3 linked regions of the Schizosaccharomyces pombe genome follow. Changing the gene in region 3 together with the main gene of any one other region gives a genetic interaction. Each region holds a gene or a part of one and is shown on either strand. Other genes may lie near its edges. The genes, in order: met26, pma1 and ade7.

Region 1 (8,291 bases), on a different chromosome or scaffold from region 3:
AAATGTAGTCCAAGCGGTAGTAGACCACCAAGCAACTAAGAAACTAACAAAACGACCGAATCTTGGACCAGCAGATTCTGCGGCCCACAAATAGATAGAACCTGCGGCAGGAAGAGCAGAACAAATTTCTGCTAAGCATGCGGCAGTAACGATTGAACAAAATCCAGTTACCAACATAGCCGACCAATATGCAGCAGGACCACCAAATGAAATACCCCAACTAAAGGTCAAGCGAACACCACTAACGACATCTAAGGAAGCAAAACTGGCAGCGAAACTCTCAAAGAATTCAAAAGAACGATGAAGCACAGGTTGATAGCCCATTTTCCGTAATAACTCATTATCATTATCGTCGTCTGTGACAGAAACATCTTCAAATCCTTCTTGAAAGACATCGGGCCTTCTAGCAGGGTCGATGGGACCAGCATAGAGCTGAGGTTCTGCTTTCTCCTTGATACTGGAAGAGCCTGAGGAGGTTTGTCCAAGCTCTGGATCTTGATGGCTTATTTGTGAAGAAGGCATGGCGAAGCAATTGTAATAATAGCAAATGAAAAAGTCAGAAAGAAAAAGAAATTTTCAATCGTTCATAAAAAAACCTTATAAATAAATAGATTGAACTTCTTGCTGGATTATAACAAAAGAGCCCACTTAAAGGCGATAAGTATTTAGTAAATAAATGTGCCTTTATTTTTAAAAAAAAAAAAAAAGAATGAACCTCTTCAAAAGGACGAGAAAGGAAACTTATCGTCTTTTTAACAAAATCTGTCAAAGATTATGCGTAACCGATTTTTTTTTAAAATTCAGTGAGGTCAATTATAACAGCCACTTTACGAAATACTGTACTGTTCCAACACTGGTTTTTTTTTAAAAGCAAAGATTGAGATATCGCTAACAAGCTTCTCAAATAATTAAAAGAAAAGTAATTTGCAAAAGTTTTAAGAAAAATCAGACTCGAAATTTTGTTATTATATAACCGGTGTTCCCGGGTGCTTGAACCCGGTTGATGAATAAAAATGTGTCTCACACGTTGGTGGCAGAAAAAGGCAATCTGACATAAAACGGGTGTTTGTTAAATCAGAAGAGCTCAAATTATCGTGGACGATGGAAATTTAGCTCGATTTAGGCACTTAATGGGTGAGAAATACTTTTATATGCCAAATCAACCTAAGGCGAATGAGGAAATTTTAGCATCATTTTAAGCTCGGTGCTTAGCGAAAATAGTCAACAATTTAACTATCGTATATGTACATTAGGTGAATACATAGGCTGTTAATCCAATATATATTAATAACCTTATAATACAAATAATTATTTCTCTTTTTAATAATTTACTTGATTGAACTGAATCTGCAACAGCGTAAGCTATCTCGAATTCTACAAGGGCAGCTTTGGTTTCATATAGGGCAGCAGGTATCCATTACCGGTACGCCGTTCTGTGATTTGCAATTTTGGAGTACCATCACAATGTGGAAAAAGATAAAAAGTTTAGGTGGAATGCAAGTAGGCGACAATTTATGTCGGATACTGGTGATACAGGGAGACTGAGTCAGTGCAACCTAGTTCCTTGTGTTAAATGTACATTTGTCATCACGTGGCACCACGTTTTATGTAAAACATTTAGTCAATTTATTTCTAGCATGTGCGGGTTTGTGGATATCCCATTTAAGTAAAAGAAGACGTTTACATGAACACAAAATGTTGTGATCTTATGCTAACTTTAAAAGATTATGGATGTCAAGAAAACTAGTACTAAATCAATTTTCAAGTTCTCACTATTTAAAGCGTTTGAGATCTCAGCTCCTTTTTCTATCCTCTTAATGTAGGAAAACTTAAGTGTCAGTAGAAAACATCACATTCAAATTCATAAATGGCACCAGTATTTAAGTGCCCACTTTTTTGAAGAAAAAGCACAAAATGTTTCCTTAAAAGTCCTTACTACCAAAATAGAAATATCGCATGTTTGATACACACTTTCGTAACGTTTACCATCACCACTTGTGCAAATCCAGCAAAATCAATTTCACCCCACTTTTCCATATTCTTTCAAGTATTTACTTTAACTACTTTACAACAAATTCCAAAAACTTGATACCTCTGTTATAAGAGCACGCCTACATGTCGACTACATCCTTACTTAAGATTCAAACGTACTGTATTCAGTTATACACAAAACATTCATCGAATAATACCTGAAAACCCATTTATAAGTATTTTCATTAGATTCTAATATTAACAAAAACGCCATCACATAGCAAAATATATCAACTTGTTACCCTCAGTTGATGAGAAAACAGCTATGCAGCCTCAGAAACATTTTCATTTCAAACATTCGTTTCATTACCGGTTAACCATGTTGAAGGTTAACAACCCCTTTTTAAATATTATCATGGAAAATAAAGGAAAAAAATTGTCCTTTTTCTTCAAAATAAGTGACTTAAGCGTATTGCTCACGAGCTTCACGAGCAGCGGCAATCATGTTCTTCAAGTCAGCAGTAGTCTCAGGCCATCCACGGGTCTTCAAACCACAGTCAGGGTTGAGCCAGAGATGATCCTTAGGAACATGCTTGACAATAGCATCAATACGCTCCTTGAACTCGGAAACAGGAGGAACACGAGGAGAGTGGATATCGAAAAGACCGGGACCGATGCAAGAGGTATAGCGGCTAAGAACATTCAACAACTTCATGTCAGACTTGGAGTTCTCAATGGAAACAACGTCAGCATCCAAACGTTGAATGGCATCGAAAATGTCATTGAAGTCAGAATAACAGAAATGGGAGTGAATTTGAGTGTCATCTTGAACAGCAGCAGTAGCCAAACGGAAAGCATCGATAGCCCATTTGAGATACTCATCCCACTCGGCACGACGAAGAGGAAGACCTTCACGTAAGGCAGGCTCATCACATTGAATGACTTTAATACCAGCCTTTTCAAGATCAAGGACCTCATCTCTGAGACCAAGAGCAATTTGTTGAGCTTGGACAGAGTCATGAACATCGTCACGAGGGAAAGACCATCTAAGAATAGTGATGGGAGCAGTCAACATACCCTTCATAGGCTTAGAAGTAATGGATTGAGCATATTGAGACTCCTTAACGGTCATAGGGGCGGGACGATAAACATCACCGACAATGATAGGAGGACGGACACAACGGGAACCATAAGATTGGACCCAACCGTTGACAGTAAAGACAAAGCCCTCCATTCTTTCACCAAAGTATTGAACCATATCGTTACGCTCGGGTTCACCGTGAACCAGAACGTCAAGACCAACTTCCTCTTGGAATTTGACAACATCAGAAATCTCCTTACGGATGAAGGCATCATATTCCTCTTGAGAAATGAGACCCTTAGCGAATCTGTTTCTGGTTACACGAATTTCCTTGGTTTGAGGAAAAGAGCCAATAGTGGTGGTAGGGAAAAGAGGAAGCTTAAGGGAAGCTTGTTGCTTGGCATAACGGGTCTCAAAGGGACTCTTACGTTCATGCATTTGGGGAGTAACCTTGCTTTGACGTTCACGAACGGCCTCAACATTGGTGATGGGAGACTCAGCACGAGCTTTGCAGTCAGCAGCGTTGGCCTCGAGTTCAGCACGAACGGAGGCAGGGCCGTCATTAGCAGCCTTAGTAAGAATAGCTAATTCAGCACACTTTTCAACAGCAAAGGCGAACCAACGCTTAATTTCAGGATTAATTTGGTCTTCGCCAGAAAGGGAGTGAGGAATGTGAAGAATGCTGGAGGAAGAAGCAACTTGCACACGCTCACTGCCGACAGCGCTAATAGCCTTCTCAATGATGGCAGTGGCCTTTTGGAAATCAGTCTTCCAGATGTTTCTTCCGGAAACGACACCAACAGAGATGATTTGGTTCTCACCGAGAACGGCAAGAGCACGGTCCAAGTTCTCAGGAGCACGAACGACATCAACGTGGACACCAGCAATAGGGAGACCCTTCAAAACATCGGCATTGCTTTGAAGAGAGCCGAAGTAGGTGGTCAAAATGAGCTTACCGATCTTACCAAGAGTCTCATAAGCTTCCTTGTAGCTAGCAAGGATCTCTTGGGGCAAGTCAAGAGTAAGGATAGGCTCATCAATTTGGATGTACTCTGCACCAGCCTCAGTAAGCTTCTTGATAAGCTCAACATAAACGGGTAAAAGCTTGGGCAAGAGTTCAATAGGCTTAATGCTAGAACCCTTGGCGGCCTTAGCAATGAACAAGTAGGTAACGGGACCAACAAGAACAGGGCGAGTGATGATACCAGCTTCCTTAGCCTCAAGGAACTCGTCGAGAGCCTTAGTAGAGCTCAACTTGAAGTCAGTCTCCTCAGAAACCTCGGGACGCAAGAAATGGTAGTTGCTGTCAAACCACTTGACCATCTCACCGGCGGGGACATCAACGGCAGCCTTATCGGCAGTAGCAGCACGTTGCATACCACGGCCCATGGCAAAGTAAGTATCCAAAGAAGACAAACCGGAGAGGCGGTATCTGGGGGGGATAACATTGAAAGAGAAAGAGTGATCCATGATTTGATCATACAATGAGAAATCATTGGAAGGGATAATGTCAACACCTTGGGCCTTTTGAAGCTTCCAGTGCTCCAAACGCAATTGCTTGGCAGTAGCAAGCAATTCCTCGGCGCTGGTCTTTCCAGACCAGTAAGCCTCGGTGGCCTTCTTCAACTCACGGTTCTTACCGATACGAGGGAACCCCAAAACAGCAGATTTAACCATTTTCAAATAGTTTGTCGGAATATGCAAATTAGGACGGTTGGATATAATCTAATGTACGTTTGAAAAGTTCAAAAGTACAATATTATTCTGTATGCTTAGGGAATACAGTACAGTAATGTGAAATGTTTGTATATGAATATATATAAATATACAAATAGATTTAGTGGGAAAACAAATTTCTTCCTGAGGGAACGAAGAGATTTCTTTTACCACAGAGGCGTTGTGTTATGAAGAAAAGACTAACTGTCTTGGGGGCCTTTACTATATATACTCAGAAATTTTCACACCACCTCCCCATCCCAACATAACGAAAAAACCAGTCACTTTTATTTCCCGATAGGTACGTTAATTGGAGCATAATATCGCTGAGAGATCTCGTGATAAAGTGAGTAGATTTTGTTATAAGATTTTATCAAATTTTTAGCGACTTCTGCACCTTGAAATTGTGCAATTTTTCGTTTCCAATTTAGAAAGAATTTGGAAAATTATTGTAAGTCTGCCTCAAGTTGACGAGAAGAATTGTGTGCTTCTAGGTAAAGAAATCGCTTTTTTTTTTTTTTCAACATGTTTTATTCAGACTACCTGAAACTGTTGAAAATATTCGTTGTCGGAGTGTTCCCATGCACTCTGTTTGTAAATGCGCCGCATGGCAAATTAGCCAAGCAAAGCAAATTATTCAGCAAAGGATACATATCGGGTAGAGTGGGATGGGTATTGATGGAGCTGGTAGCACCACTGACGTTCCTTTATGCAATTCGTAACAATCGACACTTCGAGTCGACGCTGCCCTCTCTTGGAGATGGGTCGAACCGAGATTATCTGGATAGCTGTCGAAAGGTACTTGCTGGTATGTTTTTAGTTCATTACGCCAACCGAGCGCTAGTGAGTCCTCTTTTGATGGCACCACAAGTTTCACCCATGCATTGGACGGTGTTTGTTTCTGCGGTATTGTTTAACTTTTTGAACGGTATGTCAATAGGTCTGTACTTGGTTCAAGCTAGCGTCCAGCATCATCCAGTGTCTATCATTCGTCGATACATTGGTATGTTTCTTTGGTTAATGGGTTGGTTGGGAAATATGTATCACGACAACATCTTATACGACCTAAGAAGATCATCTAATAAAAAAAAGGATCCCGATAATCTTGACACCGTACAATCTGAGAATTCGTATTATCGAATTCCCTATGGAGGGCTTTTCCAGTATGTTTCGTGTCCCAATTACTTTTGCGAATGGATTGAATGGTTTGGATGCTACTTGGCAGCCGGTCCTTCTGCCGAACCTTTTTGGTGGTTCTTCCTGTCAGAGATTCTGTTGATGCTTCCAAGAGCATTAAAAGCCCATCAATGGTACTGTAAAAAGTTTCCGAAGTATCCAGCAAACCGTCGTGCCATCATCCCATTCTTAATGTAGAACAACTGCCTCGTTTTACCTTTCGTAATAAGTTGGTGTTCTTGGAGGCCCTTAGGTCTCTATGACTGTTTTCCCCTGCTGTCTTGTGTTTTTTTCTTAGGTTTTGTTTCGATGACTTCCTTAATTTATGCCTTATTTAACCCTTATAATTTATTTCTTTCGCATTGATCTTGAATTTCACGCTATCCTAACCGTTTCCCTCTTCTCATCTACTTTTCCTGTTCCGATCAGTTATGTTGCTTACAATATTGTACATAGAAAAATTAATGATACATATGTATCTTCTGCAGATTTATACATATTCAGCATATTCGCTTTCGTTAATATTAATATAATTTTCGCGCACAAAACGCTGGGGCTTTTTGAGTTATCAACAATACCACTATATCAACGAGGTTATTGTTGCCGGTAAAAATGTTTTTGTAGTTTCTACTATGTGTTCTTATATTTTGTATTTAGGCTATTGGGGATAATTGCTCATCCGTCTACTGTTTATACGCAACAGCCGCAGATATTTTTTATTTATTTAATTTTTAATTATTACCCTGACCCGATAATTAACCTTGTTAACTGACATTATCTTCAACCCCTGAATAATAATTCATTTGCCGTTGACTTAGAACATACTAAATTTATTTATTTCTTTTTTTATTTATCAAAAAATACTGTTAATCCAAGCTTTTGCGCAATCAGCAACTACTTTTTTGCAATCTTATTTATTTAATATTTGCATTAAAATTGTGTAAGAAAAACAAAACAAAATTATCAACTTTTTATATACATACATATTTTATATTGATCTAACGCATAAAAAAAGACACGCAAAAGAAAAAAGATTTATTTATGAAATTCTATTGAATAACTGGATTCAATATTTCACATATTTTTTTATTTACTTACAACAAGGAACAAATATCGAGATCCAACGTGATATTCTACCTGGTATCTTAATAATAGTTTGGCTGTTGTAATGTGGTTTAATACACTAATATAAAATAAAGAGGGTTGCTTAGCACTCAATAATGCAAAAGATCTTATACGTACTTAGTTATAGAATTTTCTTTTCACCATTTTCATAGCATTTTCATATATAATAAAAAAACAAAATGGCGACTACGGCGCAAAAAATAAAAGAAGTTGAAGATGAAATGGCCAAAACCCAAAAAAATAAAGCTACGGCTAAGCACTTGGGAATGTTAAAGGCCAAGCTTGCAAAATTGAAACGTGAATTGATCACCCCTACCGGTGGAGGAGGTGGTGGAGGGCGTATGTACTGAACGTCAAATTTTTGTTTGGAGTACTAATCTTTCTTAGTTGGTTTCGATGTTGCTCGTACCGGTATTGGTACTGTAGGTTTCATTGGATTTCCCTCCGTCGGTAAAAGTACACTCATGACTCAGCTTACAGGAACGAGAAGTGAAGCCGCTGCATATGAATTTACAACTTTAACAACGGTTCCGGGTGTTTTGCAATACAATGGTGCAAAAATTCAAATTTTGGATTTGCCTGGTATTATCGAGGGTGCCAAAGATGGTCGTGGTCGTGGTAAACAAGTTATTACTGTTGCACGTACTTGCAACCTTATATTTATTGTTTTGGATGTATTGAAACCAATGTCTCATAAGCGTATTATTGAAGAGGAATTGGAAGGATTTGGTATAAGATTAAATAAGGAACCCCCCAACATTGTATTCAAAAAGAAAGAACGTGGTGGTATCAATATCACCAATACTGTCCCCTTGACTCATATTGATTTGGACGAAATTCGTGCTGTTTGCAGCGAATATCGTGTTAACTCTGCTGACATTGCTTTTCGTTGTGATGCCACCATTGATGATTTGATTGATGTCTTGGAAGGAAATCGCGTTTATATCCCGGCACTTTACGTGTTAAATAAAATTGATTCAATTTCTATTGAAGAACTTGATTTGATTGATCGTATTCCTAACGCCGTACCCATTTGTGGTAACAGGGGTTGGAACATTGACGAACTTAAAGAAACGATGTGGGACTATTTGAATTTGGTTAGAGTCTATACACGCCCTAGAGGTCTTGAACCTGATTACAGCGAACCTGTTATCCTTCGTACTGGCCATTCTACTGTCGAGGATTTTGTAAGTTTTCGAATTGCTTCTGCCGATCTTCGTGT
Region 2 (10,015 bases), on a different chromosome or scaffold from region 3:
TTTAAAAAAAATAAAACCCCCCCCCCACGGGACCAAGCGGAATCAAAATGATAAATGCCCAATTTCAATATAGAAATGAAGTTCATCGGATTTCATATTTCATTCAAATTTTGGCAGTACATCCTTTATTACATGTCAACCTTGGGACATACAGTCGTAAAGTTGCCCCATTCATTTTTTCGAGGTCAAGGAAACGCCGGCATCAAGTCATCATAAAATATGGCCTTGTTTGGAAAAAGAATGAAAATACTGATAGTCGAGCTGCCTATATGTAACATCAAATTTCCACCCTAAGAATACATGAGTAATAATTGTCGCTCTCAGTGAATGACTAATAACAATACATAGGTTTCACTATCATAGCTATGGAATAGTAGCAATGTATTTAATTCAATAGTATCAGACAATTCGTCGACCCAGAAATGCGGAATAAATTACCTCAAAAAATAAAAAATGTCATACTCGTAGCTCACGATAACTTCTAATAAAAAAATTTTTTAAACAATTAAGACATGTAACTATTTCCTAAGCAATTATTCCTTGGATCGTGATTTTTTTGATTTCTTCGGCTTGGTGGACGATTTTGAGTATTTGCTTTCCAGATTCGAAATCAGATTATACATCCTACTTTTCTGTCGCGATCGAATGAGCGCACTCAAAGCTTCTTCATCACTTGCACCAGCTTTTCTCCGCTTCTTCAAATTCTCGTCTAAACCAAGTTCCATAGACAATTCCTCCGCTTCCTGAGCTTCGCGTTCTGCAGCCTTGGCTCTCCGTTTACGTTTTTTTTCGTTGGGAGCAAATCTCTTGTACTTTGAAATTTTCCCATCCTTAATAGCATTGTTTATAACTTGCCGAAAACGGTCCTCATCAGAAATTTCACAGCACATAACTTCTTCAAGAATTACATCCATAGATCCTTTTCCTTTTTCATAAGCTTTCAAAACATCACATTTTTCCTCTTCAGAATATTGATAGGATGCTTTGAATTCGTTAAGTGTCTCACCGGAAACAACACCTTGGTATAATTCGTCAAGCCACTCTTTCCAGTCGAAATCAATATCAGCATCGGTTTCACGTAATTGTCCTGTTTTATCGTAATGTTTCCTTCTTTTTTTATCACTTAGTACACCATAAGCAATTGCAACTTTATCAAATTCAATCCTTGCTTCTACTTTCTTTTCCTCATCGTGTATTCGATCAGGATGATGCTGAAGTGCCTTCTTTCGGTAAGCTCGTCGAATTAGTTCGTCTGATGCATCTTTTTCTACACCCAAAACGCTATAAGGATCGATGTCCATTTTTATGAAACTATAGGTTAATGGAAGAAGGGAAAACTGACATTCATCTTTAATATAGCATAGATTGAGTAAACCAGCCATTCGAACGTTTTATACTAGAATATGCTTAATAAAAACGAATTTTCTAAATTTACAGAAAACGCTTAAGACATATACATACAAACGGTGAAGAAAAGAAATTGAAACAGTTTACAAAATATTACAAGACTTACCAAATTGGTACCACAAAATAAAAATATTTTTACTAAATGTATATATAAGATATATATGTATATACACTATTTAATGAAACGCAAAAAGAAGCAAAAATTCAAAAGAAACAACTTTTACTCAAATGACTATTCAATATTTTCAGACACTATAAAAATCAGTCCAAAAGACAAGCCGGCAGGAAACTCGTGTATTCAAAAATTAAGGTAAACTTTCTATGTATATTAAGGGATGAAATAAAACGTTTAATAAAAAACATTAATTATGCCGCAATGTCAACAATTAAGCATCACCCTTCTCATGGCGAGTAGAAGTACGTTGCAAAGCGACAACAAGGTCCTCAATAGAACGCTGGTTTCTAGATTCCTTGGGCTTACCGTTCATCATACGGTCGAATCCAGCAGATTCAGACAAGATATAGTAAGTTCCGGCCATGATACAGAAAATACCGAAGGAGTACATCCAGATACGGAGAACGGCAACAATAGAAGTTTGATGACCACCCTTGAACCAACCGAAGATACAGAACATAGTAGCAAGAATATCGACGGCCAACACAGCACCAGACAATTGCCAAGATGGAATAGAAGACCAGAAGGGACCGTTGCAACGAGTAACGAAAATCAACCAATTCTCAGTAAGAGAGATTTCGAGGAAAAGAACTTCATCTTGAACACCGAAGTTTTGAACGATACCACGGTTTTGACCTTGAGCAATCATAGTAGTGTTGGTAATCCAGGTACCGATAGCCAAAACAATACCAATGACGGTGGAAAGACCCCACAGACGAGGAAGGTTCCACTTGACGGGTTTCATAGAGTAAGGAGCGTTATCGTAAGCAATAGCCAAAGTAGCAACATCAGCGAAAATGGCAATGAAAACAACCAATTCCAAGTTCAACAATTGGTTACGAATGATAAGCCAGAGACCCAAGAAAATTTCCAAGTGAAGAGAAAGAGCGATACGGTAAACGACATATGAGTACATACGATGGAAAATTTGACGAGATGTTTTAAGGGCATCAATAATAGCAGAAAGACCAGGAGCCAAGAAAACAATATCAGCGGCAGAACGGGCAGCATCAGTTGCACCCTCGACAGCAATACCAGTATCAGCCTTCTTCAATGAAGGAGCGTCATTGACACCGTCACCAGTCATAGCGACCAAATAACCACGTTGTTGAAGAATATCGACGACAGCATACTTGTGTTGGGGGAACACCTCACCGAAACCATCAGCAGCTTCGACGAAGTCATAAACCTCAGAACCGGGCATGTTACCACCACCAGTAAGACCAAGACGTTCAGCATTGTAAATGTTAGTACCCATACCCAACTGACGAGCAGTTTCCTTAGCAATATCGACGGCATCACCAGTAAGCATTTTAACGCGGAGACCCAAACGCTTGGCTTCAGAAATAGTACGAGCAGTATCATGACGAGGAGGATCGGAACAAGGCATAATACCCATAATTTCCCAATGTTGACCCTCAATCTTACGAGCAACACCCAAAGAACGATAACCACGAGAAGCCAAATCACCGACCTTGTCCTTGTATGCAGATAAAACGTCTTCGGGGATAGGATGATCTTCCTCGACGGTCTTCAAAACCCAAAGGGGAGCACCCTTGACACAAGTAATACGGGTTCCATCAGGAGCTTGAACGTAGGCAGTAACCTTCTTGGAAACGGGATCGAAAGGTTGGAATTCAATAACTTTGTACTTGGTAAGCATAGATCTGGGACCAGGGTAGTTCTTCAAAGCCTTCAAGAAAGCCTTATCAATGGCATCCAAACCCTTACGCTTACGGGAAGCAGCCAAACAAGCAGTCAAAACCAAGTCATCACCGGAAACACCAGAGACAGTGAAGGGCTCACCAAGAGACAACTTGTTCTTGGTAAGGGTACCAGTCTTGTCAGAGCAAAGAACTTCGACACCAGCAAGGGATTCAATAGCAGAAAGTTTTTGGACAATAGCTTGCTTCTCAGCCAAGTAAGCAGCACCGACAGCCATAGTGGTGGTAACGACAGCGGGCAAACCGACAGGGACACCAATAATGGTAATAGCAAGAGTGTATTCCAAAAGACGAGCAAGACGAACGGAACGATAGAAGGCAGCAGTGTAGATACAGAACAAAGTGAGCAAGACAAGAACCAAAAGAATGGTACCAATACCGTTAAGAACTTCGGTAAAGTGACCAGTACCACCAGCAGCGGCATTAACCAAAGAAGCAGCACGACCGACGAAAGTAGAGTCACCAGTAGCAGTAACAACCATTAAACCTTCACCACGCTTAACACCAGAAGAAGCGAAAGTGGGGTCACCATAGTGCTTGTCAACAGCAAGAGATTCACCAGTAATAGCAGATTGATCGACTTGAAGATGGACATCGGGAGTAACAACACGGCCATCAGCACAAATAATGGTACCTTCATCCAATTTGAGGATATCACCAGGAACGACTTCATTAGCCTCAAGTTCGTGAACTTGACCTTCACGGATGACAACAGCCTTAAGAGCAAGAGATTTTTTCAACTCGTCGACAATAGAACCAGCTTGGTATTCCTGAACGAAACCGACAACAGCGTTAAGCATAAGAAGAGCGCAAATGACACCAAAATCGACCCAATCACGAAGACCGGCAGCTAAAGCGGCAGCCATTTCCATAACGAATTGAATAGGACCAACGAAAAACATGATAAATTTGAGGAAGGGGTTTTCGAGTTCTTCCTTCATTTGATTGAGACCGTACTTCTTACGGCGCTCTTCTACTTCAGACATGGTTAAACCAGTGTTCATGTCAGTTTGAAGAAGCTCTTCGGGGACAGCCTTAGCCTCACCGGCAGCGGGGGCATCATCATTGTCCTCTTGTTCTTCTTGAACATCTTCAGAGAAAAGTTCCTCAATCAAAGCGTCAATGTCATCATCAGGCTCATCGTCTTGAGCGGGAGCAGCTGCATGAGCGGGTTGTTGAGGAGGGGGAGCTTGTTGCTCGGGAGCATGCTTTTCAGCGTCATGGTATTCACCAGCGTTATCAGCCATAGTTAACGAAAGTAATGAGAAAGATAGATAACGAAAAAACTAAAGAAAAACAAGTGTAAATGTATTCAAAAGAATAAACGAGATGGGGTAGGTATTACCGACAATAGAAAAGGGGTATTGAGGGGAATACTGATATAAAAATCTAAAATGAAACAAAAAAGCCCGAATTGATAGCAATAAAAGACGTCTAGAAGGAATGGATCGTAGACGAATTAAATTATACTGAGACGAGGCCGAAGAAAAACAAAAGAAATTTAAAAAGGATCTTCTAAATATAAAGTCTTTAAAAGGCTCAGAAAATAAATTATCACTTTCGAGATTAAATAACGTATGTTCTAGAGAAGAAATACGCTTTGAAATTATGTCGAGAAGCGAAAGTCTGGGTCAAAGAAAGAGAATATGTGCGAGAAACGGGTGAGAAAAATAGTTTATCAAATGAAAAGATAAGAAACTATTTAATGTAATCTGCACAAGAGGGAGAGAAAACAAAAAAGAACAAGTAAACGCACACACAAAAATGAAAGTAGCTTTGATCTATTAAAATTCAAACGAGAAGCATGTAATCAAACACGAAGCCCTAGTTTGGAGTGATAAAAAACGACTATCGTTTGACAATTTCAGGACAAAGCTGAAAATGTGTGGAAATTATAAGAGAAAAAGAATAAAATATATCAATCAGAGTTTGTGGATGACCGATAAGGAAAGGGAAGATCTCACAAACACGACGAGTTTAATAAAAAATCGTGGTTGGATATAAAAAGGGAATGGAGATGAAAGGGAAGATGTTTTTTGGAAAAACACAACAAAGACTCCGAAAACTTATAAAATTGACAATAAGGTTGGAGGGATTAGATAATTTTTTCTTTTCGTTACAAACCAAAAAAGGTAGGAAGCAAGGAAAGAAAAAGAATCAATCGAAGGGGAATTGTTGAATTGAAATTTGACAATAACAACCACAACAGGTAAGAAAAAGGTGGGAGGAAGGGATGACAGACAAATGAAAAGATTTGTTTGTTGAGTTGGGAAAAAGTATATGTATGTCTATATATATATGAGATAAAAAGAATCTATATATATATAAAGGTAAAATTATTGATGGTGACTAGATCTTTCGAAAAGGACGGAAGAGAACAAGTAACCAAAAATAACGAGGTAAAAGGGGTAAATAAATTTTCCTGGATCAAACAAGCAAAGCAAATATGATCTATCAATCTACCGTACCGGGAGAAAAAGTATCTTCTTTATCGACAAAGGATGAAAGAAAGATAGGTTATTTTTTTTTCTTATGTTGAAGGTAAGAACAAAAGAGATATGTATGTAAACTATACTAAGCGAACAACACACAGTCTTCTATGTTTTCGAGTTCTTTGATCGAACAGTAGCTAACGAGAAGCACACTGAACTTTGTTAGGAATTCCAAAAACGCGGGCTTGAAAGGAACTTGCAAGCGGTGGGAAGCCGAGCCTACTTATACAAAAAATTTGGGCTGGGAGAAAAAAAAGGAAAGAAGGCAAAACGAGACGTTCGGAACGAAGAGGAAACGGAGGTCGGCAGTGTTGTGATTCGATCGCTAAGAATGGAAGACCCGTCTAGAATCCTGTGATAGGGAGTCATAAAGAAGCATGATTGGTCAATAGACAAGTCACGACGACGATAGCCGATAACCAAGAGACGTCGTATGATGTCATTTGTTCGGGAGATGGAAAGGGCCAGGCACGTCGTACGAAATCAAGGATGGACCGGCAAGAGACGAATGAGAGAGAGAGAGAGGAAGAGGAGGGCGACGGGATGATGATGACGGAGAGGGATGGGGAAAGGAAGAAGAGGGTAGTAGAGGAGGAATAATGTTAAAGAGGAAAAAGAAGAAGAGAGTGAGGTCGAAAATAATTCAAAAAAGGGAGAATATAAGAGAAAAGAGGTTGCAGTAGGGAGAGGAGTATAATGGTAGAGAGGAAAGGAAGAGAAGGAAAGAGGAAAGGAATAGGTAAAGAAAGACATTGCGATGGATATATATTATAGAGTTTTGTATTAATGGAATGATTGTTTTATGTATTTCATTTAGTGAAGTTGAGAAATTGGTTCATTTATTCATTTATTTTCTAAGCAATTAACATTTACACATCCATCTAACATCTTCTAAACTAAGATTCACTCTTTAAAATTCACTTTCTAACACTCATTTCCAACACTCATTCTAACTCCTTTCTCCTTTTGTTTACCTCTTTATCCATCTCCCTGTCTGTTCCTGTCTGCTCTCCTCTCTCTCCTCTCTCCTCTCTCCTCTCTTCTCTCTTCTCTCTACTATCCTCTCCTCGCTAATCCTATACCTTGACTAACCTTTACACTTGCGTCCTCTTCACTGTCCTCCCTTTACAGTGCGTCGCTGCGGTGCAGTAAACGGAACTTCGTCCAGCCTGCTCGGAAGGGTTGGTTCGGAACATCTGGAACGATGGTAGAGGCAGGTGAGTGTTGACTGACGGATGGCCTGGCTAGTAACAAGGTGGTAGGTAAAAACGAGTAGCAGTGTAAAAATAGGAGACACAAACGACATGAAAAAACAAGAAACAAGGGAACCGAAGACACAGAAGCAGACAAGGACACATAGGATGGATGGATAGGTGGATGGGATGGGATGGGTCGGTCGGTCAGGTGGGTGGGTGGATGGAAGCGAACAAACAAGGCAAGCAAAATAGGGGAAATGAAAAAAAAAAATGTAATAAAATGAATATTTAGTTAAGAAGGAAGGAAATTTTCACAGAGACATCTTCACAACAACGCACAAAAGAAAGCCGAGCATATGTGAGGAATGTTAGTGACAGTGAGCGTGAGTTTGAGCGGGCCGTATAAAATTTGAATAGGAGTTGTAAACAAGGAAGCCGACGAAAGAAAAAAGAGAGGCCGCACGAAAAGAAAAGAAAATATTAAAATTTAAAAAAAAAAAACGAACGCTCCGGTAGATGAAGAGGGAGCCGAAGTAAGGTGAGTGAGTGTAAGAAAGAAATGAATAAAAGTGAATAAAAGAAATGATTAAAAGCGAATAAAATTGAATAAAAGAAACGAATAAAATATATTCAAATTAATTAAAAAATTAATAGAAAATATATTGAATATGATGAAGGAACCGAGTAAAAATAAAAGGAAATATTCGTAAATAGTATATTTTTTATGCTACCCAACCGAACATAGAAGTGAAAAAAGAAATACACAAAAAAAATAAAAAAACAATCAATTCAGGGTAAATGAGAAGAATAAAACGAAAACTGAAAAAAATAAAAGAAGAAAAAAATAAAGTAAAATAAAATAAAATAAAATAAAAACGAATATTAAAAAAATCATAAATTTCATTCATAATGAAATTTATTTTAATATTTTACAAATACTACAATCAAAACCACAATAAATGTTAATACCCATGTTTCAACAGTTCACAATTCTCTTATTATTCAATACGATTTTCATCATTTCAAATTATTTCTATAAATTCAATTTAATATTTTATAAATTTTCATTCGATTTCTTTTATTTACATGCATTTCCTCTATTCCCTTTTTCTCTCTCTTTCCTCTCCTTTCTTTATGGCTCTCCACCACTCGGTTCGTTAGCACCTTTTTTTTTCTTAAGCACATTAAAAAAAAAAAAAAATAGGTTTCTTGTAAATGTCACCTTTCGTCATCCATGCATCAACTTCAATTTTTGCTTACATTCATAGATTCCTCGGTTGTTGTTGTAAACAAAGAACCGATCCATTTCTTTTTCAAACATACTTTGCTCTTTACCTACAACCCAGCACCCTTGTTTTCTCTCCTTGTGCATCGCGCATTGCCGTGGCCCTTGCAAACCACTGTGATTCATTCGGGTAGGCAAAAACACTACCGAAATTCATCCATCCATCCAACTTTAGCAGCTGCACCCAATCCCTGCTCTCAACCCACATAACTATGAATGCAACATGTTATTTCAGAAACCATTTCTCACCAATTTATTTTATTTTATTTTATTTATTTTTTTTCATTTTCATCCTGCATTGATAATTCCTTTTTCACATTCCATCTTTTCATCTCTCATTCCTCTTTCTAAACAAGGAAAGGCATCGAAATAGACGATCTCTATCGGCAGTTAAAGTTGACAGATACTTGGTTTGCTCAATCCTTTTTTTTCCACCACCATAATCAACCATGCACAAGATTACTTTTGTCTGCAAATCTTATTACGTATTTTAAAAGCAAGCAAGGTTTTGAATGAATGGTACACATTGTTTCTCATAGCAACAACATCCCGCAATCACAGCCAGCCATACCATACCATACTATACTATACATTCTTTACTTCCAATAATATCGTTATTACAAACATGCGCAAAATTCCACTCTACATTTTCTTTCCAATCTACTTAATTGCCAATTAATTATATGCTTCTCATCCTTATTATTAAAGCACTTTTCTAGCTGCCCTCTTTCTTATCCTCTATTTTTCACCCTCTCTACTTACTCTCGCTCTCTATCTTTTTTCCACACTCCACCGTATCCTGTGTTATTTGGAATGGGAAAAATTTCTGACCGCTCGGAAATCCACTTTCATCCGCTAGCTCCAGCATCAAGGCCACGAAATAATCATTCTGCCGCTATGCCATCCATCTGCCTTTGTTGGTGTTAGTTTCCTTTTCCTTTTCCTTCTTCCCTTGCCATGTAAACAAAAGACGTAGTATACATGCGTTCAATGTCATAAACACCGTCGCTCATTTTCCATTTACGTTTGCACAAAAAAAAAAAAAAGTACAATAAAAATTAAAAAAAAAAAAAAAGGTTTGACCCCCCAACGTAATCCCATCTCCTCTCATCCTATTCCATCTCATCCATCATCCATCCACCTCATCCCATTCTTCCCGCCCGACTCCAATTTCCAACATCATTCTTTGCATTTTTCTCCAACTTTACCCCATTGCCGCTGGCTTACGCTTGCTTACCTTGTTTTCAATACCCAACCACCTCATCCATCATCATCATTATTCTGCCTCCACCTGACTTGTCAATTTCCAGCCATTAATCGGCATTCGCACTTTTCGTCACACTCCCAAGTCATCAAACCAAATCTCATCGCCTCTTATTCTTCTTCATCTACTCGTCTTTTTCCATCTCCGCAAGGTTGCATGCTAAACGGAAAGGAACGTCAGAGTAAAAACATTGTATGGTAATTCATCCATCCATTCATTCATCTACTGCCTTTTTGCTGTTTGACATACGTTTTCTCTCTCATTTCTTCTTCTCCAAATTGCATGCTCTTACTACTCAAGCTATATCTATATCTCCTTTAATTAACCTTTTGCCTGTTTCACTGCCCTCCATCGGATTTTCTTGAGTCCATGCCATGTGCATTCCAATATCCAATCTACCTTAAACAAAATTGATTTCGAATAACGATTTGGAGTACACTCATTTCTATATCGCTTAACTGAACCGTACTGC
Region 3 (6,907 bases):
CGCATAAATTATACTAAATTTTAACCAGGCAAAGGTTGTTACGCGTGGCGCAATGGTAGCGCATCTCATTCCTATACGACCTGATCGTTGTTGGGGAGTGAATTACGAGAAGGTTGCGGGTTCGAGTCCCGTCGTGTAAGATTGTTTTTATGAAGGAAGCTTCATTATAACCTCCTTAAAAAATTTAAATTTCAATATCATACTACACACAATGATATTGTGGTATTTTGTTTTGCTCATGAAATATTACCAAAATTTATATTATCTTAACTGATTAATATGTTTGGTATTATTGTATGAAAAATACTACTCTAGCTCCTTCATGCTAAGGGGCCTTTTGAATTGCAGAATATCTTTCCAGTTCGAGTAATTCATATGAAGATTTGATTTTTAAGAGGTTATTGGGAATACGTTTACTTTCATTCAATCGCGACTTTATTTCTAAGTGTGCTATTCATTAACTCAATAAAAATTTCGCAACCTGTGTTTTTTCTTCATATTTTGTATGTTGGTTCTCTCTGGGCTACCCTGTTGTATATTTGAAAAATAAACTGTTTACTGTACACATTACTCCTTGTTATACATTAGGATGTTTTTCTTTGTGTAAATTATTTTGTTGCTGTATCCGATGTACTAACAGTTTGGTATTATTACTATCGAATAATGTTTTAAAAACAAAATCATTTCATTAATTATTATTTACATTGTGATGTACATGCATTGGCAGACCAGCTTGGCATATTTTAACGAAACCTCCAGTCGTTTAGTCAATTGAATCTATACCAACAAATTGGTCTCCAATTGACAAGTAGGAAGTTCGTAAATTTGATTTTCTTCATCATTTCGGACGGAGATTATGTCTGACCATTCTGTGATATTGTTTTCTTCTTCCTCGGCTTGAAGCTCCGATATAAAATTCTCAATTAGATTTTTCCAAGGTTGTGTATTTAGTGTCTTTTCTGCTTCACCTTCTCTATTCGTCAAATTTGTTGAGTCTTCTGTTTCGCATTTGGCGTCATCGAGAAATTTTATGGCAATGTCCCTAATAGCAGTACTCGTAGTTCGTTGCTTTCTAATGTTCTCCTTTAAGTTCTTTTTCCTTGTTTTTTGCGACTCTCGAGATGTGCAGGCTTCACCCATTTCTAGCAGATGAATCATCTCTTCTTGAAAAAATTGTGAAAGTTTTTCCTGTACTTGGTAACTTGTTTCCTTTTTAGGACTTTTGGGATCTTCTTCGTTTATGCTAACATACTTTTCAATGCTTATGGCTTCCGGGGCAGCAAAAGCGTCATCATAATTCGTGCCATTTTGATCTAATCCAGAATCGTAGAGAACGGATGGACCCTCATTTTCGCGCAATTCATGAATAAACTCATTCTTGTCATAACCAATTTCTTTGTATAGTTCCCTAATTTTTGAAGTCCTTTTAGTCTTGGAGTAAAGCTCTGAAACATCATTTTCTCTGTGCCTTTCCTTTGCGAAATTGCCAAAGTCAACATTGGGAGCAGTTCTTGAGCTAAGATATTTATGGGAAGCTTTTTTAGACTTCCTCTTTTTGCTAATAGGTTTCTGGGTATTATCTTCATTTTTTAAACGTGCGATTCTATGTTTGGAGTCATTGGAACATAATGTCTCATTGCTTTCTTTTGTGGTGGTCATTTCGAGACTTTTAAGGCTATATTCTTTAGTGCCTTTCTTTATTTCTTGTAAATTTGATGCGATGTCTAGTTGAATAAATCCAGGCTGAAAGGTTTGCAGTACGCCATCCTCGCAAAATGTTTTGAAGAGTTGAGCGCATAAAAACGTTTTTTCTATCGCTTTATCGGATTTTTCGCATATTGTTTTTCTAATGAGTTCTTGCATATTCGTTTCATAAAACCTATAACGATTTGGATTTGATGTAAAATTTACTATTTCTGCGTCCGGTGTGCATGTCAATTTGATGCAACGGATTTTTCCATTTTTCCAAAAAATTCTTAGGTTGTTTCCAATAGTAGTTAGATTGCTGCTGAATGATGGAAGGTTTTCAACAGCATTCTTAATCTCGAAATGGCGTGAATTAAAATACTTGGTCGTACCTTTGCATTTTGTGGTTATTTTATCTTTTATACGATGGGATTTTAGCCTATAATCATAGTGTTTATCGTTGGCTGTAACTTTGTATTCATCTGCAAATAAATCCAACGCATAATGAAAACAGTAAAGCAGCTTTCTAATTAGCGTCTTTATTAACTTGAGCAGACTGTAAACTGTTTTGAAAGAGAATAGCACACAGAATTTTAGAGAATTCATCGAAAACTTAGAACACATAAAGAAAAAACTAAGTATTTCTTGGCTATATAAAATCAAGAACATAATTAGAAGACAAACATGAAAGCTTGGTATAAGTGGCCGGATATTCTTTATATTATATAATTCATAAAAGTTTATGTAAATCATCTTGATTTCTTAAAAATTTAGTGATCGATTGTGGGGAAGAGCGTAATGGTATATATAGTCGCAAGTTTGTTTGTTTTGACTGTTTGTTTATTTTCAAAGAAAAGGAAGAATTGAGAATAAAAATAAACATTTGCAATAAATGATTGGATTTTTTGAAAGGTATTCAATAATTATTACAAAATGTAGCATGTTTCCTCAATAATCATCTCATATATGAATACGCTAGACTTGCAGAATTCTTATTCAATCAAGTTGATAAAAATCAACACTAAGCCTTTTCTAATAAACAACGACCGATACCTATCATTTTGATACCAACACTTGAATTTTTATAAGTAAAACTTAGATTCTACTTCTTTAATAAAATCGCCAAAACACCGTTAACAGGTTCAAAAAATGAAAAATGATTTACTAAAAGACGCAATAGCATTTAAAGTCGATTTACTTTACAAAAGAAATCGATTTTTTTTCCAAGGGTTTGTTACAATTTGAGAAGAATTCCAAAAAGAAGAGAAACTGCAGATTACTAAAAAAAACAGATAATGGTAAGAAAGAGCAAAAAGCCAAAATCACCCCCTAGTAAGACCACTTCTTTCCAGTTATCATTTCATAAGCTTCAACATACTTTCTACGAGTAGCTTCAACGACATCTTCGGGCAAAGAAACGTTGGGTTTATTGGCAAGGTTATTAGCGGTCAACCAGTTTCGAAGATATTGCTTATCGAAACTATCGGGAGATTTTCCAACAGTATAATCAGATGCAAGCCAGAAACGGGATGAATCGGGTGTCAATACCTCATCAACAAGCACAATCTTATTTGTGGTTTCATCAACCCCAAATTCAAATTTCGTATCGGCAATGATGATTCCCTTCTTTAATGCAACATCACGGGCTATTTTGTAAAGCTTTACAGAAGTCTCAGCAACTTGTTTGGCTAATTCAGGTCCAACAATTTTACTGACTTCATCAGGATGAATGTTTTCATCATGGCCTTCGGCAGCTTTGGTGCTGGGGGTGAAAAGGGGTTCAGGGAAGGCCTCTGCCTCTTTCATTCCTGTAGGTACGTTAAGGCCATGAACAGTCCCTTGCTTTTGATATTCCTTCCAAGCACTTCCAGTGATATAGCCACGAACAATAGCTTCGATAGGAAGAATCTTGTATTTCTTAACGAGCATGGATCTATCCTTTAACTCTTCATGCTTCGTGATAACAGGAGGTAATTCTTCCCACCTAGAAGTAATCAAATGAGTTTGGACATGAGGTTTTAAAACATCAAACCAAAATTCTGAAATTTTTGTCAAAACCTTTCCCTTCTCAGGGATGCCGTTCTCCATGATAAAATCATAGGCGCTTATTCTGTCTGTTGCTACGAACAAAAGATCATCGGGAAATTCTACACACTCATACAGGTCTCTGACTTTGCCGGTAGCAATTTTAGTGAATGGAGCATCCAACGAAGTTTTTAATAATGCCATTTGAAATGAACTTGATGTAGAAATGAAGGTTTAAACTATTCCACTTGAAGACAATTAGCTTTTGGTATAAAAATAACAAAGTATTTAAAGAAAATCCGTGTGATCTCTTTTCATTTCGTTTTAATATGCTTCTTCTGTATGAGGTCTATATAGTATAACATAGAACATCGATTAAAAATTTCAGAGAAACAAAAGCAATTACAATTATCAAAAAGGATACTATTACATAACATACCACTTAGAATTGGCTCCAAAAAACCCTGGTTTCAATGAATCCAGTTAACTCTAACTTTCGATGTAGTAGAAAGGAAAGATACAAGAGAGATGAGACAGATCGTCGTAGATCTTGGCAATACACTGAGACAGATTAAGAACAGATAATCAGTAAAGATTCTTTTCAATTATAAAGAATTTAAAAATTCCGAAATAAATTCGTATTTGAGGATGATGGCAACCTAAGTAAGTGCTCGAAAAGTAAGTTGTACAGGACATGCTGTGGTTATAAATTCCATGTTTAATTAAAATAAATAAAACAAATAAATTAATAATTATAATAAGAAAACTATTACTTCACTTAAGTTAAAAAGAGCTTTAAACACCGACTACTGTTGCCTTTTTGACTGCAGAATATTTTGAAACAACTTTATATAGGAAGTGTTTTAAGAGTAGGATAATTCAAACTTTTAATTCTTAAAACTATACTGGATCCTTAAAGTTCTGGCTTGTCTGCAAAGCCATGTAATCTAAAATTGGGTACTTTCTGTAAATAATATGCAGCGATTTAAAATCAACAATAACCAGCTAAGTCTGAAAATTACTACAATTTAGATTTTGTACATATAGAATACTCGAATATTTTTCATTATACTTATATTTGATTATTCATCTTATTTATCGTCGCTATATTTTTCAACAATTATGATAAAGTACAAGCTCAATCCTGGCAGCTCATGGACATCTTGACTATTTGTCAAAAACTGTAAACAGTTTTAATGGTAATAATATCCACATTTTGTAATTTGCATAACTTTTCAGCTTAGCATTTCATGTCGCATTCCTCAATTATATATATATATATATATATATATTACATAAACAGTAAACTTGATATAGTATAAGAAGAGGTCTTATGAATTTATAAGGGGAATTAACCAACCATTCAATGGATTATGTTAAAATTATTATTCTTATTATTTTACAGCAGAAAAAAGGATATATATTTTTGTTTTTGCAAGTTCGAAGATAATCTAGCAATTAAACAAATATTTTATACCAAGTTGTAACAAGTGTATCTCCAAAAAGAAAGGAATACTTAACAGTAAAAAAGAATTTAATCATTATTTATTTTTTTATTTATTCTCTACATGAATATACTTTGCTTTGATGAATTTTCAATGCTCAATTGTAAGGCCGACTTATAACGCGCTCGCTATACTTTGTTAGGTTACCTAGTGTAAACAATGAGTAAGGTAGTCTTTGCAATCCTGACTCGACTTGACCCTAACCAGCATCCATTATGAAACGAAAGCCTGAAGAGCAGGAAGGATTTGTATTCGTTAGGAAGGGTAAAGAAAAAGCTGGTTCTAAAAGAAGGAAATCATCTGTGGAGGATGATCCAGATACCTCCCAAACCGATGGGTTAGTTGAGCTACCCGTGTCTGATACACCAATTGTGAAGCGAAACAAAGAACTTCGCAAGGGTAAAGGAAGAAGGAGTAGTCTTGACCAACGGGGTAAGCGTGCTAGTAGCATTGGTACTGGATTTGAAGCTTTACCACATGCAGATGTTCCATCGCATGAATACTATCGCCATATATCCAAAGACTTATCCGAACCTTTACGTATCAAACAACTTCTCCTTTGGGCTTCTTCAAAGGCCTTAGAAGAGCAAAGAAAAAAATACGGTGAAACGGAGGAAGCCAGTGAGGCAGCTATTGCTAGATCAATAGTTCAAGAAGTTCTTAACGAATTATTGGCTAATAAAGTTAGTGTTAGTTGGTATCAAAGACCACCTGATGCTGTAATTCCTAATAAACCTCATCCTCAAAATCTCAAAAATGCTCAGCTAGTGGACGAACTGTCGGCAAAGCTTACCCAACTCCATAATGAAGAAGCTGCATGGCGGGCTGTTGCTGCTAATTCCGTCAGTTCAGATAAATCAATTTTATCTTTTAAAAAAGCTGTAGAATCCATAGATTCTAAACAAGACCTTGATAAACAGGACTCTCCATTACCCCCAGATGATGCACCAGAACTTCCTAATATAAGTAAGCTGAAACCAAAATTCCACACTCTCCTGGACATGCTTGCTGAAAATATTCATACCTTGCATTCTTTGACTAACGCTGGACCTGAAGTCCGATCATCATATGGTCGCCTTGCTGCCCAGGATTTCATAGCCCATCGTAAAAGTTTGTTGTCCTTCTCCAAATATGTGGATACTATGAATTTATTAAGGCTTTTATCAGAAGCTTCCTATAAATCTTCCTCAAACGAATCAGTTTAAAATTGGATTAATCTGATACTGTTATGCCCAAATTTTTACTTATTTTTACGTTAATTTTATGTCTTTTTGCGTGCCATTGCTGCTAATTAACTAATAATGAAGGTGTGCAAACCAGCTGGACTGTGTTTGAAAATTCATGTTATACGTTATTTCAAAGGAACTCCTATAGTAGTAGCGCGCACTCACATTACTATCTACACTCAATGTACGATACATAACTGCTACTATTCACCCAATATTTAGAATTTATCAAAGGTTTCATAGTTAATTAATTTGAAATATTTGAGAAATAAATAGCTTTATCTCTAAAGTCTATATTCTATAATTAAATTTTAAAAAGCGAGAGCAGACATCGTCGCAGGTTTCGAAACATGTAACGTGTAATTAACAATAGCTTTATGATAACCAGAATACACGTGGTAAATTCCGTCATAATAGTAACGTAAAACTTTCAAACACAAAACCGCATACATGAAATTAAAAAAA

Evidence for each region.
Region 1: of ade7 (region 3) and met26, changing one suppresses a phenotype caused by changing the other (phenotypic suppression), as found in Schizosaccharomyces pombe (one study listed by BioGRID).
Region 2: mutations in ade7 (region 3) and pma1 impair growth when combined (synthetic growth defect), as found in Schizosaccharomyces pombe (one study listed by BioGRID).

The regions. Positions count from the first base shown.
Region 1 is NC_003424.3:1,475,065-1,483,355, reverse strand, and holds met26 (homocysteine methyltransferase Met26), read right to left. Parts: upstream 4,959-8,291; 5' UTR 4,730-4,958; coding exon 2,435-4,729; 3' UTR 2,184-2,434; downstream 1-2,183. Other genes in the region: plasma membrane thiamine/proton high affinity transmembrane transporter Thi9, read right to left, coding at 1-522; SPOM_SPAC9.08C (steroid reductase), read left to right, coding at 5,294-6,142; SPOM_SPAC9.07C (GTPase Rbg1), read left to right, coding at 7,249-7,408, 7,457-8,256. UniProt on the Schizosaccharomyces pombe protein: Catalyzes the transfer of a methyl group from 5-methyltetrahydrofolate to homocysteine resulting in methionine formation.
Region 2 is NC_003424.3:3,870,127-3,880,141, forward strand, and holds pma1 (P3-type proton ATPase Pma1), read right to left. Parts: upstream 5,986-10,015; 5' UTR 4,554-5,985; coding exon 1,794-4,553; 3' UTR 1,516-1,793; downstream 1-1,515. Other genes in the region: SPOM_SPAC1071.09C (putative DNAJC9 family protein), read right to left, coding at 534-1,301. UniProt on the Schizosaccharomyces pombe protein: The plasma membrane ATPase of plants and fungi is a hydrogen ion pump. The proton gradient it generates drives the active transport of nutrients by H(+)-symport. The resulting external acidification and/or internal alkinization may mediate growth responses.
Region 3 is NC_003423.3:1,154,126-1,161,032, reverse strand, and holds ade7 (phosphoribosylaminoimidazolesuccinocarboxamide synthase), read right to left. Parts: upstream 4,215-6,907; 5' UTR 3,916-4,214; coding exon 3,016-3,915; 3' UTR 2,609-3,015; downstream 1-2,608. Other genes in the region: protein meu18, read right to left, coding at 778-2,439; mis13 (MIS12/MIND complex Mis13/Dsn1), read left to right, coding at 5,432-6,421.